Linked DNA regions of Caenorhabditis elegans. The protein of the gene in region 3 interacts with the protein of the main gene of each other region in a pairwise test. Each region holds a gene or a part of one and is shown on either strand. Other genes may lie near its edges.

Region 1 (3,923 bases), on a different chromosome or scaffold from region 3:
GCGAGTTAATGGGTTCCAGGGTTTCTTGGATGGGTTCCAGTAAGAATCAAATAACAATATTCGTTCAATTGGCGTTCCACAAACTAGAGTACATTGAACAAAACTAACTTTAAGAATTAGATCTAACATGGAGGAAAAAGAAAATGCCAGTCATCACTCCCTAGTTTACTACAGGCAGGGGACACTAAAAAGGATTACTGTGATGCGCAGAAATACTAACATTTCCATAGAAACCTAGTAACTAGGTGAATCAGTATTTCAATATTGATTAAAGGAAATAATTCCGTTCACATTTTTTAAACCTTGTTTCTGTAAAACGCGTGCTAAACCATTAACTCAGTTAGATAAAAAAGTTTCGATAAAATATTCTCCTCTTGAAACATTATATGTGCCTTCCAAAGAACATTAGCAGTGAACAGTTTTTTGTGCTACCTGAAAATTTACTAATTTCCATACTTCTAACGTTTGTATAACTAATTCTGAAACTGATAAAACTCTGTTAACAAGTTTAGTTGCAACAAGTTTTTCAATTAAAATGTGGTTACGAAGTAATTAAAAATTAATACCGGTTAGTCACTTTCTGACCGATGACAATTAATGCAGACATGCTTATGACTCTTTGCTATATTTTTTGTTTTACTCTTAATGGGTTCCAGAGTTGCTTTGATGGGTTCCAGTAATAATCAAATAATACTCGTTGAATTAGCGTCCGACTTACTGGAGATCATAGAATTCATTTGATTTTCACAGAAATCACTTGAAGATTTATGTTTAATATTGTGACATCGAATCGAATATTTCCTAGACCTATAGTATCGAACTGTTATATCAAACCACAATCAGAACTAATTTAGACAAGTTGATTATGTGTCCAATATTGCATCTATTGGAACAATAGGATTTATGAAAGTTAACAATAAATGTTGAATGCATAAATAGACAAATCAAGTAAAATTATTCTAAAGGTAATTTTCAAACATTTCCACGTGCCACTGACACTCAAACCAACCAATAGTTGTTGGAGTATTTCTTAAAATTTTTGAAAAGAACATTGAACAGTTTTAACATTTATTTGGCAATTCAAACAGCAAGAAAAAACATGGTATATTAAATTGATTAGTAGTACAAAAGGTATACAAAAGCTTACATATTAACTCAATATGGTCTTGGATATCCTGGATACTGTCCGGGTGGAGGTGGAGGATATTGCCCTGTTGGTGGTGGTGGGTACATACCGGCTGGCGTGGCTCCGGTTCCAATTTGATATGGCTGCTGTTGTGGATAGCCTGGTGTGCTTGAGTATCCTGGGTTGCTTGGATACATGTTAGTTTGATAGGGTTGCTGTGGAAGTGGAGGTGGTTGTTGGTTGTACGCCGAGTATCCTTGGGTTGGGAGTGGTGGGGCTTGTTGGACATATCCACTAGGATTCACTCCAGCACCGATTCCCATAGGTGGTGGGGGTGCATATGTGGCTCCGTAAGGTCTTGGTGGCGGTGGAGCATATCCAACTCCGGCGCCAACTGGTGGTGGAGGGGCTCCATATGGAAGAGGCATAATTGGAGTAACACCGAAGCCAACTGGGGAACGATAAGAACCGTCACTAGAGGAAGAACTTGAGGAGGAAGAACTGCACGTGCGACGGCCGTACATCTGAAGAAAAAGTGTAAGTTGAGGGGTTTAAAAGGGAAAAAAATCAAACAGAAAGGTTGAAAAACGATCGATTGTGAGTTGTTAGTTTGCGATCCGCCTATTGCCTCAAAAACGAGAAGGTTTCACAATGTGATACGGTTATCAGTTTGCATTGTCAGAAGAAGTTTCTCGTTTTTCCATAGAGAAGAGCAAACAATGACGTATATGGAAACGAATGAACAAAAAAGAAACGAGGGCGTTTTCAGTGTATATTTTGAAACTTTCTTTGCAATCCATGAGTCATGAGGATAGATCATGGACATGACCTTCTGGATGATTCAATGGGAAGGAAGATTACATTCATTTGAATTTATAATAGGAATAATATCGAAATGTCAAACTGGAATGCCAATCAAATACAAACGTCAAAAAAATTATCAGGAAGAATGGAAAAGATCAGGGCAATATTTTAAAATTCAAAACTTTTTCTTGAATTAAGCCAGTCTGCTCTCCGTCGGTCTTGTTGTAAGTTAAATCCAAGCTTCGCTCGACTTTTCAGGAAAGACTGGCTGTAGTCTGGAGGTAAGAAATGCTGACCTTAAGTTTGACCGCGACAACCATCCAGACTGAGCCATCCGGACAACTTTCAACCCTATTGGGTCTGTAAGTTTCTTTTACAATTTTAACAGACTTTTGAAACTCAATTACGATTTAATTTTGTTTTTCAACTTCAATGAATTTTATTGTGTATTAGTTCTTGAATCCGTGTAATTTTAATAACTATTTCAGTCCGTTTTGCAAACCAGAAAGGCCGATCAATACACTTCCTAGCTAAGATTTTCTGCGCCTATGCATTTCGCACCTGTTCTATTCCGAACATGTTTGCGGATCAGTTCTCTGACCACCTAGTGTCTTCACATGATTTTGACATTGGAAACATGTGGCCGAATGGTCTAGTGGTATGATTCTCGCTTTGGGTGCGAGAGGTCCCGGGTTCAATCCCCGGTTCGGCCCATTCCTTTTACTCTTTTAAGCATTTTCAGCATGTAACTTTGAAAACTTGTATTTTGATCGAATCGTGAGACACATTCAGTAAAATTATGGGGAATTGTAAGAAAAGGCTTTGAATATTTTTTTATGTATTATTAATGTATTTGATCGCGGAATACATTCATATTTACATCATCTTCTACGAGTTTAACAATTTGTGAAAATTATAATAATTATGAAAAGTAATTTGAATTATATTAAAACAATTTCTCACGATTAGCAATTTTGATTGTTAGAAATCCTATTCCTAACCAAAACTTTCGAAAAAGTCATACTCTGCATTTTCAAGGTCAATGCTTACTGCGTTCAGAGTTTTCTTGTTTAGTAGAGACGCAGATAGACTTGTTTATTGGTTTGTGACTAGTCGACCACACGCAGAGCGCTATTCACGAGAGCGTGCATGTGTAGGAAGAGGCGTTCACGACGAGACGTGGCCGGATGGTCTAGTGGTATGATTCTCGCTTAGGGTGCGAGAGGTCCCGGGATCGATCCCCGGTCCGGCCCACTTACTTTTTTCCTTGTAGCGAATGGTTATATGCTTTTGATGTATTATGCATATGGTTATTTCAGGAAAACTACAATACATATCAGCTCGAAACGTGGCCGGATGGTCTAGTGGTATGATTCTCGCTTAGGGTGCGAGAGGTCCCGGGATCGATCCCCGGTTCGGCCCGCTTAATTTTTTGATGTATTTTGTTAAGTGTTTTTATGATTGTTTGGAATTATAAAAATTTAGTTGATATTTGCGAATCTGAATAAAAAATCAATACAATTTTAATAATCATTTTTGAATCTCTCATGACAAACTTTATAGAAAACAATTCTCTATTTACAAAACCGGAAAAGCAACACAAGGTATAAAAAATGAACACTTAAATATTAAAATAGCATAATGAATTAAACCCGAGATAACATGTAACAAAGTTTAACTTTGGTTCAACGAAATACCCATAAATAATGAGAATGTGACTGCTAAGCTCTACTAAAACCTGGAACTAAAAATCAGGCGTAATCTGTGAGTTTAGCCTTGTTCTCAGAAACTTTCACAGGACATTTGTTGCAGCATCTGCAGACAGCAAAACAAAGTACAGCAAAGATGAGAAAAGTGAACGAAACTCCGACGGCGATGATTTTCAGTGAAGAATTTATCAACTTTTCTTGCATTACAGCAATCCTCGTCTCAGCAAACGCTTCTCGGCCTGAAATGCAATAGTTTGAGTAGGACAAACGATGAACGTTATTGC
Region 2 (5,880 bases), on a different chromosome or scaffold from region 3:
TCGTTTTCCTTAGATGTGAGCAACAGACACCAACATTTCACACCTTCTACAGTGTTGCACATTGGCTTGAGAACGTTGTGAGTCGTCGTATTAAATCCATTTTGTGATGTTTTACATAACAAAACCTCTAAGAGAATAATGGGAAATAATGTGGAAAATATCAATTCCATTTTCTCATTCTCATCCTCATCTTTCATTTCATTTCTGCTCATTTTCAGCTCATTTCTATGAACGCCACTACTATCAGCCATTACGTGTGTGCATGTTTTTCCTCGACCATATTATTCTGTACAAATACGTCGTCGCCTTATTTTACTATTACCGGTTTTAATGAGATTGTGTTGAATTATTTTCTCCCCCCTCCCTATTTGAAACCAAACGAGCGCGCACACAAACACATGAGAGCGGGCGGGTAAGCGTCTTGGGTCCCAATTACCGTATATCATGGAAGTGGGTGGAGCTGTGGACGTTCATTCAATACGGCTGTGCTCACCTCAACTCGTTTTATTTTGCGTTTGATCAAAACTAAAACTTGATTTTTTTTTCAAATGTTCGTCATTGGACTCTCAAGGGTTAATCAGGAAAAAAAACACATTTCGTGATTACTTGTTTGCTTCGAACTTTTTTTCAAGCTTCATAAGACTTCATGTGATAGTTTCCGATTCACTTCCATCGACTCTTGATTCATCTCTTTTCCCTCAGTTTTGCATGGGTTCTCTAAGGTATCAGAAATCTCGTCTAAAATTTTCATTTGTAAATTAAACCCCCATTCTGAAAATTAACAGTAATACGAGTGTTCTTTTTTCAGCCAAAAATGATTTTTTTGGAAAGTATGGAAAAAAGTAGTTTAAAAGATGTCATCACAATATTGGCAGTACTCTTTTCAACTTCCTGTACATCAAAATATCAAACCATTTACCGTATTTTCCCTATTAGGATTTCAACCCAGTTTCCATCTTTACCAGCTTAACACGAACAAAGTACTTGTCAATTTTTTTTAGCGGTTTGTAGTTTCTTATCTTTGATACTGAACACAGATATAACGTTTCAAATAGTGTGGTACAGTACTATTCAAGGAGTTACGGTATTCGAACACATTTCAAGTGAACAATGATCCTGAGTGTTTTGCTCATCGAGCCTATATTAGATATCTCTCCTGTTTCCATCATTCCTCATTATTACCTTTTGCACTCCGAATTCGACACTAACCGCGGATAAGCTGCTGCTTGACCCGTGCGTTCGCATAGCAACAACGATCCACTAACATCTCGAATTTCATATTTAAATTAATAATGTTTTGCTTAAAGCATAACTGATTAGCTTTTTGGCATTCTCGTTGGAATATACATTGAACCTACATTACAAAATCAATTGATCATCAATTTTGAAACAATTGATAGAGTCGCTCAGCGGAAAAAAAACGGTTAATTGTTGTGATTAATGGTGTTAACCAAACATAGTAATCCACTTAAACGAATTAGACATTAAGTTGGACAGGGCGTATTGCCTAGAAACATCTCTGTTTTGCTTGATCACTTAACACATTAGCGGAAAAGCAAGCAGGGAGTTCTTCGAGATCCTCAGATTCTGCTAAACTTCTCTCAACTGTATTCATAGTCGTTTTCCTATTGGTCAACCATTGTTTATATAGTTTTGATATCCGTTTTCTTAACACTACCAAAGACAATAATTTGACTTGGTCATCATTTCATTATTACTCCTCTCCTTCCCATTTCCTACACCCCATTTATCCGCGAACGCTCGCCCAGCTACCGTAGTCTTGAATGGTGGGGCGGGGCTACTCATTAGTATTCTCGATTAGCCCTCAGTTGACTCTATTTTTCTCAAACATGCCGACTTCAGTTATGAATCTCCCTATTGATATGACGACAATGAGCTCGCAAGAACGTCTCGAAAAAATGTCACAACTTCCAAAGATTGAACTGATGGAGGAAGAAGAGGAAGAAGAGATGAAGCCAAGTTCAGATAATAAGATTAAATTCAATATTTCTGAGTTGCTGGAAGATGACAGAAAACCGTAAGTTGAACATTTTCATTTATTTTCCTTTTATTTGTATAAAATTAAACTTTCAGAACTACACAAAGTTCCCCGTCGGCATCTTCAGAGGATAGCACCAATGAAATTGAGCAAACGGCGTTTAATTTCAATTTTGATCCAAAAATGAATCCGATTTCTGCCCTCCTGCAACTTCAGCAAACTTTCTTGAACGTCGGCAATCAACAAAACATGATCTCACCACTTACCATGTTCCCATTCTTTGGACTTCCGACTGCTCAACTAATGCACTTCAAAAACATGAGCAACCCAGGTCAGTAGATATTACCCAACTTCCTCTCTCCTTAGTCTGTCATTAGTTAATGTGTGAAAGAATCCTACCATATTTCATTTCATTCAAAACAGTGTTCCGTTTACCACTATAATTTTCGGTCGGTTCTCTTTATTCTCCGAATCTCAGAACACCCCTTAATACAGTAACTAATTCATTTTCTGACCCATTGTTATTGTATGGTCTCGAATTAGCCAAGTCTGGACTCATTAACAAGTTGAACAACGGTATTGGATGAACATATGGAAAAAGGAGGGGGGAGGTTGTCGGCGGATGCAGTTCCTTTCTTAGGATAAGAATCAGAATCGCTCGCCTGTGTTGAACTCAACTAATTATCTTTTGTTGGGTAACACCACACGCGGTATTCATTGATTCTTGAAAGGATGTGCTCAAACAGCAATAAGTTAATAACGTGAGAATACTAAACCCCATGAGCTCGGTGACGCGTGTCAGGTCCTTGACTTTTATTTTGATTCTAAAAATAAATACATTCAATTAAAAATTATAGAGAAACAACTTTTTTTTTCAGATTCAAAGTTTTTAATAATGAAATGTGGCCTGTAGGGAATTACCAAATGTCATACTAAAACATTTCAAAAATGTTTTAAATAAAATTTATTTTTAGTCAAAGAACATTGAAAACTCATAGTCCGCTTTTACCTAATTTTTGGCTCAAAATTTTTTTAAAAACAGTTTTATTTTGATATTAAGCCATTTTAACATTACAAAAATGCTGATTAATTATTTCCCCTCACAGGTCCAACTTTAAGCCATTAAGTTTTCCGCTCAGTTGATTTGGCAAAGCAAATCAGCGTATTGTAAAATAACATCATCACGCTGTTTTATTACGCTGACTCTGTTGATACATGTGGTTTTGCCACTGATTTGTTTTTGATAACATGTGAAATGATCAAAACAGCAATAGAAATCTCTTATTCTAATGAGCCTTTTCCATTTCGCATGAAAAATCAGGCATACGCATGAGCGCACATTTTTAGTCGTCAATATTCGTAACGTAAGCGGCTACACTTCGGTTTTTAAGAGATTCTAATTAGTCAACGAAGAATCAGTATTGAAAACTAAAGGTAGTTCTTAATATAGAGACATCTATTTATAAAGGTGTCATTTTGACCGACACCCGTGTCCTAGTAATCCCCCGTCCATTGAGATAATTAACCGATGGACCACGGGGGGATGTGTTATAATTGTGGCCTGTCAATGGAAGTATCTTAATGCAATATGGTTAATATGCCTGTCAGGAATTAAGTAATTGTTGAAAATGTGTTTCCTTACAGATGTTAATATTCAATCAGACAATGGAGAAGAGAAGGATGAAAAATCGGAGGGAAAAGATGGGGAGACCAGGGATTCCACTGGTGGCAGCCCGCTGGAGTCTGACGCAGAAGATGACGATGATAGTGAGTTGAATTTAAAAATGTGTCCACAAAAGTGTCCATAAACTGTATTTCAGTTGGCCGTGGAAGCGATGATGAAGCCAACTCTAGCGATCCATCACAAAATAGAAAGAAGAAAACCAGAACCGTCTTCAGCAGGAGTCAGGTATCAGAAATTGTACATTCCGAACTCAAATAATACTTTCATTCAGGTGTCCCAATTGGAAATGATGTTCGAATGCAAAAGATATTTGAGCAGTCAAGAGAGATCAAATTTAGCACAGAAGCTGCACTTGACGGAGACCCAAGTGAAAATTTGGTTCCAAAATCGACGAAACAAGTTCAAGAGACAAGCTCAGACTGATGACACGAACATTTCCCTGCAGATGCATAGAGCTAATGTGTTTTCGATTCCAGCAACCACAGCTCTTACATCTCCGTGAGTTTACTGTTTCATGAAATTAATTCTAAATTTTATATTTCAGAATCCTTACGATCCCAACGACCAGTGCTGGTGTGAACATGAGAAATATGATTTCATCTCCAATGGATGCTTCTGCAACTGCCGCCGCGCGGTTTCTTTTCGGTTTTGGTACACTTCAGGCACAGCAAAACTTGAATGCGTCGGCTCAAGCGCAGAACATGTGAACACCTTATTACTAATTTAGACTCACCCCCTGTGCAATTCAACTCAACCTCAACACATTTTTCATCTCATCACTGACTCTATCTCTTCACACTTGATTTTTGATTCATCGCCCTTCGTATATATTTTATTTTTCATACCCTATATGTTTATTATGTGTCATTCTGTGTATTTTATAAACTATCTTCGAGCACATGATAATTCAGTTCATCAATCCTTTCTCTTTCACTAAATAATTATTTATTGAGTAATAAATTTACATTATGAATACATACAATACAAAAATGATAGAAACTTTTTGATGTGTAAAAGACCATTTTCCAACAGATTATGATGGTAGCAAAGCTACTCTTTTCACATACATACATATACTAATATTTAAGATGAAATTTCAAAACAAATGTTCAAATTCCATCAACTGCAGAAATATCAGAAAACTTTTATTCTGCTTGAAGAACGAAAACTTACAAAATTTCCAAAAATTTGAATTGTATTACTTGGATATAAAATAATAGTTTGTCTCCTTTGTATGTAGTATCTGTTTTTTTAAAGAGTTTTTGTTGTGTTTTGAAAGGTTAATGGTTAAAATTAGTAGAATGAATTAGGGTAGTGTAGTGTAGGTGTTCAGTAGGCAACTTTGAAAAAAGTAAGTTGTTATGCTTTGAAATAATATTGGAGAGTCAAAAGTATTAGAAATCTCTGTCTTAAACAGTACAAAAACGCTCGAGAAATTTTTGAAGAACTGTTTTGAAGAACTCCAAAAAAAATTTCTAGAAATTTCAAAAATTACGAAAAAAATTCCTTCGACACTTGCTGATTTCTGAAATTTTGTTGCAACGCTTTTTATTCGGATTGATAATTTTAAAGCGCATCTTGTAAGTTGGAATTCTAAGTTCTTTAGTCGTAGTCATTGTACTTCACAATACACACATACATGTTCAGTACTTTTATCTACAGCTGCTTTTTTACAGATCGTTTCATCCTCTATCTCATCTTTGATAGGGCCGACCAACTTTCCGCTTTCAAAAAAGTACTTTTTATCATGACATCATGTTAAAACTATTTCATTGCACAGATAGAAGAGTTTGAGGTCATTCGTGTTCTAATGATTCATGGGAACCGCGACCTTTGTCGTGCCGACAGAAATTTGAATTTCTCTCCTGACTCTGTTGGCGTGCAAGAAATATCTTTTTTGATCAGTGATCAAAGTAAGAAAAAAGTAAAATCAGAAGTGTTTGAAGACAAAGCAAACAGACATTTCGAGGTAACAAAAAGCTAAATGTATAAACGGGTAGAAGAAAAATTGAAACATCAAATAGTTGGAACTAGGTAAAAATTTTATAAAAAACTTTTGTCCTCACTAGTGACAGCGAAAATGTGAACGTTCCTATTTTGTTACATGTTCAATAGAAAGACACAATTAAAACTTGGCAGTTATTTTATCACTCCAGTTTTATCTTCCTAACAAATTTTTCATTAAACGCTTATGATC
Region 3 (5,434 bases):
AATTTGAGTGAGAAGAGAAGCATAATGACTTCCAATGAGTGACCTCCACGATCCACGTAGTCCCCGAGGAAGAGGTATTGAGTTTTTGTCGCTGCTCCGCAGGCCTGAAAGGGAACATATAGAACAGCTTAGCACACATGCAGTTGGTATGGTAGGCAGGCAGGTAAGGACTTACATTGAAAATACGAAGCAAGTCGTTGTACTGCCCGTGGGTATCTCCACAAATGTTGATCGGAGCTTGAAGTTCCAAAAGAGCATTTGCAGCCGGTTTTGGAGGGCTCATAGATGTGGTTGCAGATGCTGAAGCAGATGGTGCAGTTTTCTTGTTCGGTGGAGATGTGTAGTACTTGAAGACACGTGTCAACAGCACATGGATCTCTTTTTCCTGAAAAAAAGACATTAGGAACGTAGGTAGGCATGGAGGCAAATAGACAGGCAGGGGCGTGGGTAGGTAGGCAGGCAACCGCTTAGAAACGCAGGGATGGTGCAGGTAGAGAATAGGTAGGAATGCAGTGGTTAAACATTTAGGCAGGTATGAGGCAGGCAGGTAAATATGCAGGGATGATTCAGATAGGCAATGGGAAGGCATGTAGGCAGGCACAGGTGAAGCAGGCAGGCCGGTATAGAGTCTCCTTTACTTACATCAAACATAATGGCTTTCGAGAATACAGGCTTCAGAAGTTTCTTGATCATATCGGTCAACTTGAATCCCTTCTCATCGGCCTCCGTGATATGCCAATTGTTGGCTTCCGAACCCGGTTCAACGGAAGTTTTCTGAAAAGGTAGAGGCATTTTAAAGAATCATCTGAATTTCCACTTACCTTTGGAGCATCTGTTGCAGCAGGATTTGAAGAATTCGAAGAATTTGAACTCATTTCGTTTTCAATTCAAATTGATCCCTTTGAAGTGTGAATTATCAATTAATGAATTTATTTTCTTTCTATTGATTTATTGATTTTGATGATTTATTGATTGACCATTGCGATAACAATTGTTTTTATTTTTGACGCGAACATTTTTAAATTGTTTTAAACTTGCGTAACTAAATTGTTATTAAAGTTGTAAACTATCCAAAAATTGTAAATTTTATGTTCTACATTTTGATAGTTGACAACTTTTTTATAGCGTTTTTTTTTTTTTTTTGTTTTTGACGCGAAAAATTTCTTTTTTTTTTTGTAAATTTTTTTCAATAATTTTTTATTATAATTTTCGTGATTAAATTGTTATCAAAGCTATCAAAAAGTTTGTAAATCGTTTTCCAACTATTCCTAAATTCCTAATCGATATTGTTTTTTTCTTTAATTTTCCAGATGTCCTCCAAGTTTCCCACAATATCGTGTGTCTTTCGTTTTCCAAACCACGTGGCGTACCATACATGGCAGAGAGTTGTGTTACGGCTCAAAGACATGTGCCGCTTATACTTTGCTATAAAGTATTTTGCCAAGTGTTTCGAACCGTTTTTGAACCGTTATTATTACTTGAAAAATCTCATATTTGCAGTAAAAATTACTGGAAGAAATGTACATTTAATAGTAACGTTTAAGTATGAAGCTATTGAAAAATGTATGAAAAACAAAATATAAAATTATTTTTATAATCAATTTCTTGTGTTTCTAACCAATTTCAAAATGCACCAGCCCTCCCGCTGAGCCCGACACATCTTCTCCTTCCGAGCCAATTCAAAACTGCGCACCGCTATCACTAGAGTGTGAGGTGTCAAGGTGTGGGTGGAGGTATACTTTTGAAGTGTGAACTACACATTCTAGATTGCTGAAGACCATAGAGATGCTCAGTTGGAGGAAGAGGTGTTCAAGAATCAGACACCAACATTGGCTCGCAGTTTAATGAGTGTTCCGATTTTACAGTTATTTTGGATATACTTCGCGTGTGATCCTTCTAGGTCATTATTATATTGGTGTGAATTCAAAAAGCCTAAGCCTATGCTTTAGCCTAAACCTGAGCCTGAGCTGAGGTCTAAGCTTAAGCCTGAGCCTAAGCCTAAGCCTTAGCTTGAGCCTAAGCCTAATAAGGGATGGGCGGCGAACAGGCTTTCTTGGTGAACGGCGAATTCGGCGACTTTGCCTATGCAGTTTTTCCAGTTTTCCAGGTTTTCTCTGAAGGTTTTTTCTTGTTCAAAGGTGTAAGCCTAAGCCTAATTGTAAGCCTAAGCCCAAGCAGAAGCCTGACTGAGCCTAAACCTAAGCCTAGGCATAACTCTAAGCCTAAGCCTGAGCATAAGCCTATGTCTATGTCTAAGCCTAAACCTAAACCTAAAGACTAAGCCTAAGACTAAACCTAAAGACTAAGCCTAAGCCTGCACCCAAGGCCGCCGTGCGCTACATCTCCCATGGCCACACGCTCATATGTGCCAAGTTGTGCTCCACTTGCCACGTGTCCACCCCTACGTGTGGCCCAGCCCCTTCCGGCTCCGCCCACTTACCGGCTCAGTTTTACAGAATTAGTGAGAGTGGTTAGCACTTTTATTACAATTAGATTTTTGTTGCTCTACTTCCGGTCTCACTTTTTTGTGCTTCTGTTACTCCTATAACTCCCCCTGTTACAGCATTACCATGTACTCGTGCACCTCCCCATCCGGAATTAAAGTCTCCTTGAGCACACCAGAAATTTGGGAAGAGTTCTACCCGAAAACCGAAATGATTGTGACGAGAAACCGTGGAAGGGTGATTTTTCCGCATTTGGACTATATCATCAAGGGATTGGATCCAGGCAGTCTCTACTCGATTTATATTCATTTGGAACGTGTTGACGGGATTAAGTGAGTTGGGTTAAAAGATAGAAAAAAATTTTCAACTGGTAAATTGTAGAAAATTAAATTTGCTACAATTTCTAAATTGACAACTTTTTGATAGCTGGTATACTTTCAGAGTTATAACCTATAGGACGATTCCAATTTCAAAAACTTGAACTCATTTCCAGATACAAATTCGACGCAGGAGAATGGAAAGAATTCGCCAAAGGAGATCCGATTCTTCCAATCCAATACAAGGAGCATCCGCGTGGCAAGCGTACTGGAGCAGAATGGATGAGTGAGCCCGTCTCGTTTGCTCACATCAAAATCACGAATAACCCGGAAATCAAGGATCAGAAGGTCATTTTAGTGCAGAGTATGCATAAGCACATTCCAGTGGTCACTGTTAAACAGGTCCGACATTATAAGACAGGGTATCAAGAGGATTTTAGTGGGGAGCAGTTCCGGTTGGAGGCTACTGAATTTATGGTGGTCACTGCTTATCAGGTTAGTTATTTGAAAGGGTGTGGGAAATTAAATTTGCAACAATTTGTTGAAAAAAGTTGAAAACATTTTAATCGCGTCACTATCAACGGAGATGAAGTAGTTTAAAGTTGGAGAGCATATTTTCAAGTTTCCAAAACTGTAAATTTCGAAGCGCTATTCCAACTTTTCAAATCAAAAATAAATGTAGACATATAGAAAGCATCTAATTCAAAATTAAAAAAATACTGAAAAACTTGCCGAAAGTTGCCATTTGCTGAAGCTTAAGCTTAGGCTTAGGATTAGGCTCAGGCTTAGGCTTAGACTTAGGCTTAGGCTTACGCCATTATACAGGAAAAAACCTTCAGAAAAAACCTGGAAAACTTAAAAAACTGCATAGACAAATTTGCCGAATTCGTCGTTCGCCAAGAAAGCATGTTCGCTGCCCATCACTGATTAGCCCTAGGCTTGGGCTTGGGCTTGGGCTTAGGCTTAGGCTTAGGCTTAGGCTTAGGCTTAGGCTTAGGCTTAGGCTTAGTCTTAGGCTTAAGCTTAGGCCGCAAATCGACTTTTTCAAAATATTTGTCGAGCACGTCAAATTCGGTAAATTTATTCGGCATGGCAATTTCGGAAAAAGCATTAAGTTTTCATTAAGTGCCGGATTGAAACTACGCTATTAAAATTTTGTCAACTAAAAAATAAAAAAATGTAGCAAATTCAATTACCCACAACTAGAAATTTTTCACCAACTACATACATATATTCTCTACAAAATTGTACCCTTTTCCAGAACGAAATCCTCAAAAACCTCAAGGTTCATCACAATAAATTTGCATCCGGATTTCGTTCGAATGGCAAGAGACGGCTTTCTTCAGACTCTGAAAATTCTGAAAACTCTCCGCCCAAACGCAGCAAATTGGTAACCCCACCGACAATCTCACCGCAAATAGATCTCCCACAGCAAACCCCGTATTATTTCAACCAGAATTTTGTGGCTCCGCAGAACTACCAGCCACAGTTTGCAAGTGCTCAGAATTACAATTTCGAAGTTCAAAATAATGCTCAATTAGCTTGGAATATGTATTATCAAAAACAATACGAGTTTTGGTGGCAACAGCAGCAAATGATGATGCCAGGACAACCACAAGAGCTCAAAAATGAATTCCAAAGTTTGTGAATTTTTTGTAATATTTTTATACCCCCTACCTATTGCCTTTCTCCCCCTTTGAATATTGTACTGCACTGATCTCCTGGATTACTATTTATGTGTCTCATAAATAACAATTGAAATAAACTTTATTAATATTTAAAAAAAATCAAATAGTCCTCGCGGAAGACTGCGCCACGGACAACGTCACCCCAATCGAGACACTTCTCTGCCGCCGCGTCACAAAACTCCTATATGGTGCAACGTAGTAGATCGTTAGAATCGGATCGATGAGGCACGGGATGACGCAGGTTGGAAACGGCACGAACTCGGCAATCTCGAACTCGATGTGGATTCGCTGGAAATTTTTCAATGGGCTAGGCGTGCCTGCCTGCCTGCCTATCTCACCTGCGCCACAAGGAAGTATGCAACATTGGGAAGAAGGCATACCATCGGGAACATTGCCTGCATTGTGAGTGCCTGGAAAAATTGGAAAGTTGCCTGCTTGTTTGCCTACCTACTAGGCAGGCAAGCCTACTCCTACCACTCACCCTCACCAAATCCAACGACGATTTCTTGGTTCGTTCACTCAAATGTGTCTGAACTTCGTTGATTTGATTGAAGATCTGATGTCTCCAGTACAGAATGAAAACGGGCATCATGTAGGGAATTCCCATGAGAATTGTGGTATTGATAAGATAAACCAGCCGAGTTGTCGACTTGAAGCCTCCATATTCGCCGAAAGTATCTAATAGGTGATAGTTGGGATACGATCTTTCCGTGTTCAGGGTTACTGTAGGGAAGTCGTATGGAGGAATTAAAATTGCTACCTGAAAATTTTGGAATTTATTTAGAAAGTGGTCCTAGTATTAGGCTTAGACCTAGGCTCAGGCTCAGGCTCAGGCTGAGGCTCAGGCTTAGGGTTAGTCTTAGGTTTAGGTTTAGGCTTAGACCTAGGCTCAGGCTTAGGCTCGGGCTCAGGCTTAGGGTTAGGTTTTTTGGGCTTAAGCTTTGGCTTACGCGTAGGCTTAGGCCTAGTCTTGATGAAAACCCTG
Region 4 (6,968 bases), on a different chromosome or scaffold from region 3:
CAAAAATACAGTATTTCTTAGTGACATAATGAAAATGTTTGAAAGTTTGAAAACATTTCAGTCAACTTTTAGGCAAAACTATGATATTTAGTTGTTCTAGAACCGCGAGGATTTATTTTTAACATTTTCGCTTGGTGATCAGGGCAGCATTAAATAAAAACGTTTAAAGTTACCAATGACGCTTGAAATTGCCAAAATTGAGAACGCAGAAATAATAATACGCATGCTTAATTCGTGAAATGTGATAATGATTCTTGTGATATGATAGCCAAAAGGATAAGTCACTGGATGATGGCCTCATTTCATTCCAGTTTCTCTTATGTTTTATCATTGTTCGATATGAACCTTGAACTAAACTGAACTGTCAATGAAAACCGGATTATGAGATACTTCAACTGAACTAGTGAAACCAGGTATTCTCAAGAATTGAAAAGATGCTTCAACGATTTAAATGACAAAACACTTAGTTCCAGAAAGTGTGAAAATGTGCAAACCCCCGAAAAAGGAAACGACAAAAAACTCGCCGCAATCTCTGTTTACTCAATGTTTTCTCACTTCCGTGAAATGAATTGTATATTACATATTTTCTCACAATATCGGTATTCGAACCCGAAAAGAATACAGATGTCTTTCTTCCTTCCTGTTGCTCGGGACAGGTGCATGCCATCTTCTTTATTCTCTCAATAATGGAATTAGTGTTTTGTCGGGAAAAGGAGGTAGAAGGAAAGGGAAATGGCAGAAAAGTGACAACTGGAGAGAAAAGGATTTGTGAAATATGAACGGGCGACGAAAACCGTGGAAACGTTATGGAAAACTCAACACTTTTTTTTTGGTTTTCCTGATGTGGCACATAGTGTTCATAAATTCTCGAGTCTCTTGTTTTCAATCATCTTGAAGTGGATTTAGCAGGGTACTTTTTCTATTTAATTTATTTCAGTACACTAAGTTTTTTATATTCTGATGTCAGATTTCGCTTGATTCAAAATCATTTCTCAATTATATCATCTAGATTTTCCCACTTTGCGTTAAAGCCTTTTGCAACTCATTGTAATTACAAAGCAAAACAAAAGTGAAAATATATTAACACTCATTTTTATGAACATCAAGAAAATTTGTTTGTAGCCTGTAATTGAATTTGGAAAATAAAAACTTTGAATCAAAACGAATCTCTCTCACTAGTTTAAACTTGAACTATTTTAAGTTAATTTTAATAGAGAACTACATCTGATTAAACGAGAGTTTTTAATGGAAAGTTGGTTCGGTGAAAAATGAGAAAGTAACACTAATACTCTCACGCTCTATTGATTGTTGGCTCACTGTTATCAGTGTGATCAACTTCGTTGACTTAGCAAACTTTTTTTTTCTCATGGTAAAAAAAGAAGGTCGTTAAACTCATTAACATTTGGATTGTCCACTAATGATTGAGAGTTTTGAACTCTCTCCCAAGTGTAAAAGTTCAAACTGGATGTAGGAAGGCAAAGTGCAAGGTAGTAAAAAGAAAACAACTATTTACCGATTGAAAGAATCTTACTGAAAATATATTAATTTTACAACTAAACAGTTGATAAGGCAAAGTATCAAAGTACATTTTAAAAAAGCTGTTACGTGAACAAAGGTTTTTTCTCTTTTTATAAAAAAAACTAGGTATATCAAAACAGTAGAAACGGGAGGAAAATTTTCAAATTCCACACTTCGGAATGACTGAAGTCCAGTAAAAATATATATGCCCGTGTTAAGAAACTTTTTGCAAATCTCAATGTTTTAGGCGTTCATTTTTCCATTCCCTCAATAAACATTATTTGGAAACTTAAAATGTAAACTGCATCTTCAGTGTATTTACAGCAATATGACACAGTTCCTCGCCATTGAGAAATTATCAGTCTATTATAAAATTTTTTTATTGATTTTTTTCAGAATTAGGTTTCAATATGGCATACAACATTCAATACGACGTTAGTATATCTCAATATCTCCAAAAAAAATAATGAAGTAGAAAAAACTCATACAATTTTCAATGAGACATAGACATATACAACCTTAAATTTAAGATATTATCACAAACATACAATTAAATGACGACGCCGATGGTCTCACCTTATGGTGCAGTTTTATCTGAAAAGAAATTGAATTTTGCGAAGGATTGAGCTGTTTGTCCTTACGGTTTCTATTCAAGTTATTTCGCTGCCCCTTTGGTCTTTTTTTAGTCTGTTATTCTGTTGGCAACATAATTTACCAAAAAGAACAACACTCTCCAACACTAGTCAGAATTAGGATAACTGAATAATTTGCCAACTTAGGTACTTGTGGAGAAATCACATGACTTGAAGTTTTTTTCTTGCTAGCTGAGTTTATTTGGGAGTCTAGAACTCGAGATTTTCAAGTAAAGAAATTAGGCTTCTCCTACGCATTCTCAATTTCATTTATAATTTTCAGCTGGTAGCACTTGATTAAAATGGGCAATTAGGTTTCAAGTATTTCTTCTCTTTTTTTTCGGTTTCCATACCTCTTCCCCTCCGATACCTCGATTCTGTTTGCCCCAGTCTCCGCCCATGGCATCCAATGAGGTTGGTGGGCGTGTCTATCGGGTGGGACAAGCAGGGCGAGAGGCTGGACTGAAGGCGCACGGGAGACACGCACACGGTGAACGATCCTCCACAAGCACTCATATAAGAGGTAAATGAGCTCTAAGAGATTCTCTCGGTTTACTTGAAGGGCCACTTTGGCCGTCCTCTCCATGACTTTTCAAGTTTTTAACTTAAGTGAGTTTTGAGTAGTTTTCGGGACGGACGCCACTTCCATCCTCCCCTTCACACCCCATCCTTCACATTTAGCGCCCCAATCGAGGCACTGGAGCAGCAGTTTCAATTCTCTGTTTCCAAAAAATAATGATAGAATCTAGAAACCTATACCATATTACCTCAAACTCTAACTTGAAAAGTCATGGTGAGTCTTCTATTCATTCCTTTTATTTTCTTTGTATTCTAATATGACATTAACTTTAGAATCCCAGTTTCTCGCCTTTAACTACAATTAATTTGTAGAATGTCTTCTGGATCATCCAATTCCTCCACATCAGCCCCTAATTCTGTCACACCAACTACTGATGCTTTCTCAACTCTCTCCATCTCAGCACCGGCTACAACTGCAGCACAAATGTCTTATTTTGCCTTCCCTAATCAATATCCACATGATTTCTCAAGGTATGCTTTTAATTTGAGGTAAATTCTGGATGTATGATGATGGATTATATGTCCCCCAGATGTGGAATTATTCAACATCAATGGTTTCTAGCAAATATAATTTATTTCGATTTAGAATACAAAAAAGTTCAAAAAAATCCAATTAATTAGTTAATTCACGAATAATTTTAGCAAACCTGAATATTTCTTCAGCTACAACACAAGTGCGGCCTACGCCACCGCTCCTGAATACAAAAAAGTTCAAAAAAATCCAATTAATTAGTTAATTCACGAATAATTTTAGCAAACCTGAATATTTCTTCAGCTACAACACAAGTGCGGCCTACGCCACCGCTCCTTACCCAATGGCAACGCATCCTCAACTGGCCAATTGTGAGTTTTTTTCTTCAAATTCATCTTCTCGACTTTTCTCACTTTCCCGTTCGCAAATAATTACAGTCCGGTCAATTCAATTGAGTTGCGCGCTTCGCATTTTTCGCAACAATTATTTTATGTCTAGATTCTTTGGTTTATTATTTAGATTATTATATAACACATACATATATAAAACAAGCGTGCGCGATATAATTGACATATACCCGAGCTACAGTAGGTCTGGTCTATGAGTAAAAAAGGTTCCCACACTAGCTTTTTCCTTTCTCTTAGATCTTTTTTCGCTTCTTCCTGCAAAACATATAATCCCTTTCTGCCGGTGGTGCTAAATGTTTGTCTTTCCAACGAAACTCGTCCTACAGTACCTCCCCTTGGTTGCCACAACATTGGAAATGAACAAGTTTGCCAACTCAACTAACTACGTCTGTCCCTTATTTTCCTTTGTTGGACAACAAACAACTAACACCATATTGAGAGGTGATAGTAGGGGTTCAATGAAGTTGCGTCGGAAGTGACGTAACATCAGTAATCTACAACACCTACTTGAAACCGTGAGAGAATTGCTTCCAAAACTTAAAGGCATGAAGGTCGTGGTACTGTAGACGTGAACATGTGACAAAACTAGTTGGTGGAACTTTTAATTGTTGGAAGGTCAATGGCGGAAATCATAAAAAGGAAATCTGCAAAAAATGTGAACTCCGAATTGAAAAATTGCAGTAAGGGTCCAAATCAGATATCATATTTTCTGATAAGTATTTTAGAATGCCAAAAATTTATTTTCTATTATATCTCTACTTAAAATAATTTACATTGTCATTCTATTGAACAGCTTTGACATCTCATATCTGGGTGGTTTTTTGTTTTATCACAAAATTATCAACTTACAGTAAATGTCATTTTTCATATATAGTTTCGTACTTAGTTATTTTTTATAGCTTTAAAAACGAGATTTAAGTTGTCAAAGCGGAGCAATTAAGTACAATTCTGACAAAAAAAATACAGTAGTTGATACCGTATCAGTTTTTAGCTTTAAACCAAGTTCACTGCTGAAAACTTTTTCAAAACTTCCAATTTGATCTGAATTTTTATCTTTAAATGTACAGGACAACCTAGATTCAGTTGCTGGCAGCTTGTCTGCCAATTCTCAGCAATTTGTTTAGTACGCCACGGGGAGTCTCTCTCGAATACTCAATTGTCTGGTAAACGGACCATATTTGTAGAAGAGTTTGCTGTGGTGCCATTTTTGTATCGTAGTTAAGACAAGTGTTAGCATACATTGACACGTGCACGCATGTGTATTTTTCTTATTGTTTTTATAAGGGACTACGGAAATTGTCGATTTCCTGAGACTTCCGTTGAAGGGCAAATTATCGCGGATCTTATTGCCATGATCCTATTGTATTTAGTAGGCATAAAACAATCACTATTTATTGCAGTTAATCGCTTCCAAACCAATCAGCTGAATTTGGGACTTACGACACAGCAGAATATGATGATATCACGAAGAAAGCGACGTGTTCTCTTCTCACCTCAACAAGTTCACGTCCTGGAACGCAAATTCCAAATCAACAGATATTTGAGCGCCGCGGATCGGGAAAACCTTGCGAAGAGTATTAACTTGTCGGCAACACAGGTTTGAACTTTTAATTTAAGCTAATCATTTGCGATGTTTCTTGTTAGTTTCTCACATTTGCCGTATTCAGGTGAAAATCTGGTTCCAAAATCAACGCTACAAGTGCAAGAGACAAGAAAAAGAGAAGAAAATGGATGGTGGATGCTATCGGGATAGTGACAGGGACACTGATTCAGACAGAGACAATGATAGTAGTGGATCACTTGGAAGTTCGATGTCTGGAATCAAGAAGGAAGAAGATGAAGATCGGAAACCATTCATGCCATCAGCAGTTTCATCTGATACAGCTTGTCTTCCGGATATCTCACAACAAGCATTCCCATATCAGGTTCGTATTTTAGATTTGTTGAGACTTTCAAATCACAAAATCGTGTTACAAATAAGATTTTGTGACGGTAATCCAATAGGATTAACATAGGGAATCGGATCACACACTTGTGACTATCTCTCTATTCTAATTCAATTTGTTCCGTTATGATGTGGTCTCATCACCTGGAAACAGATGCAGATGCACAAATGATTTTTGAAGGACCCACTTCTGACTGCAGCTGTCATTTTCCACTTTTGAATCACAGGCTTATGAACTGTGCAGTTGTTTTTTATATGGCTATCGTTAGATGACAATGTTCAACTATGTTTTTTTTCCAGATGTACCCTTCGAGTTCATATATGCCTCCGTTCTTCGCATACCAAGCACCTCCTGCAAACTATCCTCCGTCTACATACAATTTATCGACATCAGCATTTCATAACCTTTAGCTGACATTCAACTATGCTCAATTTTTTTTTTAATTTTCTCAATTTCAATCTAAAAATCTCGTGACTCTTCTGTTCTCTTTCCTTCCCCAATCCTCAATGAGCTTCTCATTTTTTTATTCCAAAAATTGAAAAATCCCAACACTAAACTGGTATGTATTTATATGCGTTGTTGCTATATTTTTGATATTATATAATCTTGCACAATAAAAATAATTTTAAATTTAAAACTTTGTTTCATTGATTTCAGAAATAGATGTCGCTTTTACCGTAATCATAATGACAGACGACGTGCCATTCTCTTCCTATTCATTGGGATGAATGGTGATGAACATGAAGAGGCGCACGCATGTTGTATAGAAAAGAAAATGCGTAGTATATTGTTTTGTAGAAAACTGAATGGAGGTACTTGAACAAGACGTCGACATCCAAAAAAAGGAAGAAGGAAAAGAAGGAAATGAAGATGTCAGACAGCAATAGTGACGCGATGAATCATCCACCAAAAATTAGGAAGATTTTCAGAAAACATGTTTTCAGATGTTTTTAGGTGGTGTTCACATTGTTGCACAAGCTGTGTACTTCTCGTGATAACTGCTTGAGATCATATAGAAACGATTTTTAGTAAATTACTTTTGAAGCAAAATTAGCATTACAGTTGAAATAATTTAATTTGCAATTGGAAAAATAATCGATAACATTCTATTTCATAATTTATTCCATGTTTTTCCAATTTTTCCAATTTGCAGTTCTTAAAAGGCAAACTTTTTTTAAAACTGACTTTTAAAATGTATACTTTTTTCCAATATTGTACATATTCCAAAATGAAATCGCTTTTTTATTTTTCTTGTAAAATTATACACCATCCAGCTTTAATCCTGTTTTTGTAGCAGAAATCCCATTTTTCAAGTTCATGTCTTCAACTGACACCTTTGGTATGCACAGCCGGATAATCTACAGCTTGATGACAGACAGACACGTGTTGCGTCACCACCTGCACACATACAAAG

Evidence for each region.
Region 1: the proteins of tbx-38 (region 3) and C16B8.3 interact in a two-hybrid assay, tested with the Caenorhabditis elegans proteins (one large-scale study listed by BioGRID).
Region 2: the proteins of tbx-38 (region 3) and mls-2 interact in a two-hybrid assay, tested with the Caenorhabditis elegans proteins (one large-scale study listed by BioGRID).
Region 4: the proteins of tbx-38 (region 3) and ceh-27 interact in a two-hybrid assay, tested with the Caenorhabditis elegans proteins (one large-scale study listed by BioGRID).

Annotation. Positions count from the first base shown.
Region 1 is NC_003284.9:3,966,985-3,970,907, forward strand, and holds C16B8.3 (Annexin A7), read right to left. Parts: upstream 1,651-3,923; coding exon 1,156-1,650; downstream 1-1,155. Other genes in the region: C16B8.4 (Fibronectin type-III domain-containing protein), read right to left, coding at 3,682-3,878.
Region 2 is NC_003284.9:4,757,583-4,763,462, reverse strand, and holds mls-2 (Homeobox protein mls-2), read left to right. Parts: upstream 1-1,822; 5' UTR 1,823-1,850; coding exon 1,851-2,038; intron 2,039-2,094; coding exon 2,095-2,330; intron 2,331-2,568; exon of another isoform or gene 2,569-2,767; intron 2,768-3,643; coding exon 3,644-3,766; intron 3,767-3,819; coding exon 3,820-3,908; intron 3,909-3,954; coding exon 3,955-4,181; intron 4,182-4,227; coding exon 4,228-4,390; 3' UTR 4,391-4,659; downstream 4,660-5,880. UniProt on the Caenorhabditis elegans protein: Transcription factor that binds to the promoter of target genes. Regulates fate specification and/or differentiation of multiple cell types arising from the embryonic mesodermal (M) lineage and the ABp(l/r)paa precursors.
Region 3 is NC_003281.10:11,783,189-11,788,622, reverse strand, and holds tbx-38 (T-box protein 38), read left to right. Parts: upstream 1-2,561; 5' UTR 2,562-2,570; coding exon 2,571-2,776; intron 2,777-2,798; exon of another isoform or gene 2,799-2,878; intron 2,879-2,937; coding exon 2,938-3,256; intron 3,257-4,022; coding exon 4,023-4,409; 3' UTR 4,410-4,541; downstream 4,542-5,434. Other genes in the region: C24H11.1 (Serine/threonine-protein phosphatase), read right to left, coding at 1-104, 176-385, 643-774, 822-875; srd-74 (Serpentine Receptor, class D (delta)), read right to left, coding at 4,549-4,737, 4,788-4,859, 4,931-5,209. UniProt on the Caenorhabditis elegans protein: Transcription factor. Required for mesodermal induction, acting redundantly with transcription factor tbx-37. Together with tbx-37, acts by inducing cell fates in the AB lineage, thereby playing a role in development of the anterior pharynx.
Region 4 is NC_003283.11:11,660,772-11,667,739, reverse strand, and holds ceh-27 (Homeobox domain-containing protein), read left to right. Parts: upstream 1-2,637; 5' UTR 2,638-2,673; exon of another isoform or gene 2,674-2,806; intron 2,807-3,041; 5' UTR 3,042-3,042; coding exon 3,043-3,200; intron 3,201-3,504; coding exon 3,505-3,572; intron 3,573-5,008; coding exon 5,009-5,205; intron 5,206-5,275; coding exon 5,276-5,533; intron 5,534-5,853; coding exon 5,854-5,964; 3' UTR 5,965-6,191; downstream 6,192-6,968. Other genes in the region: F46F3.3 (Attacin_C domain-containing protein), read right to left, coding at 174-225.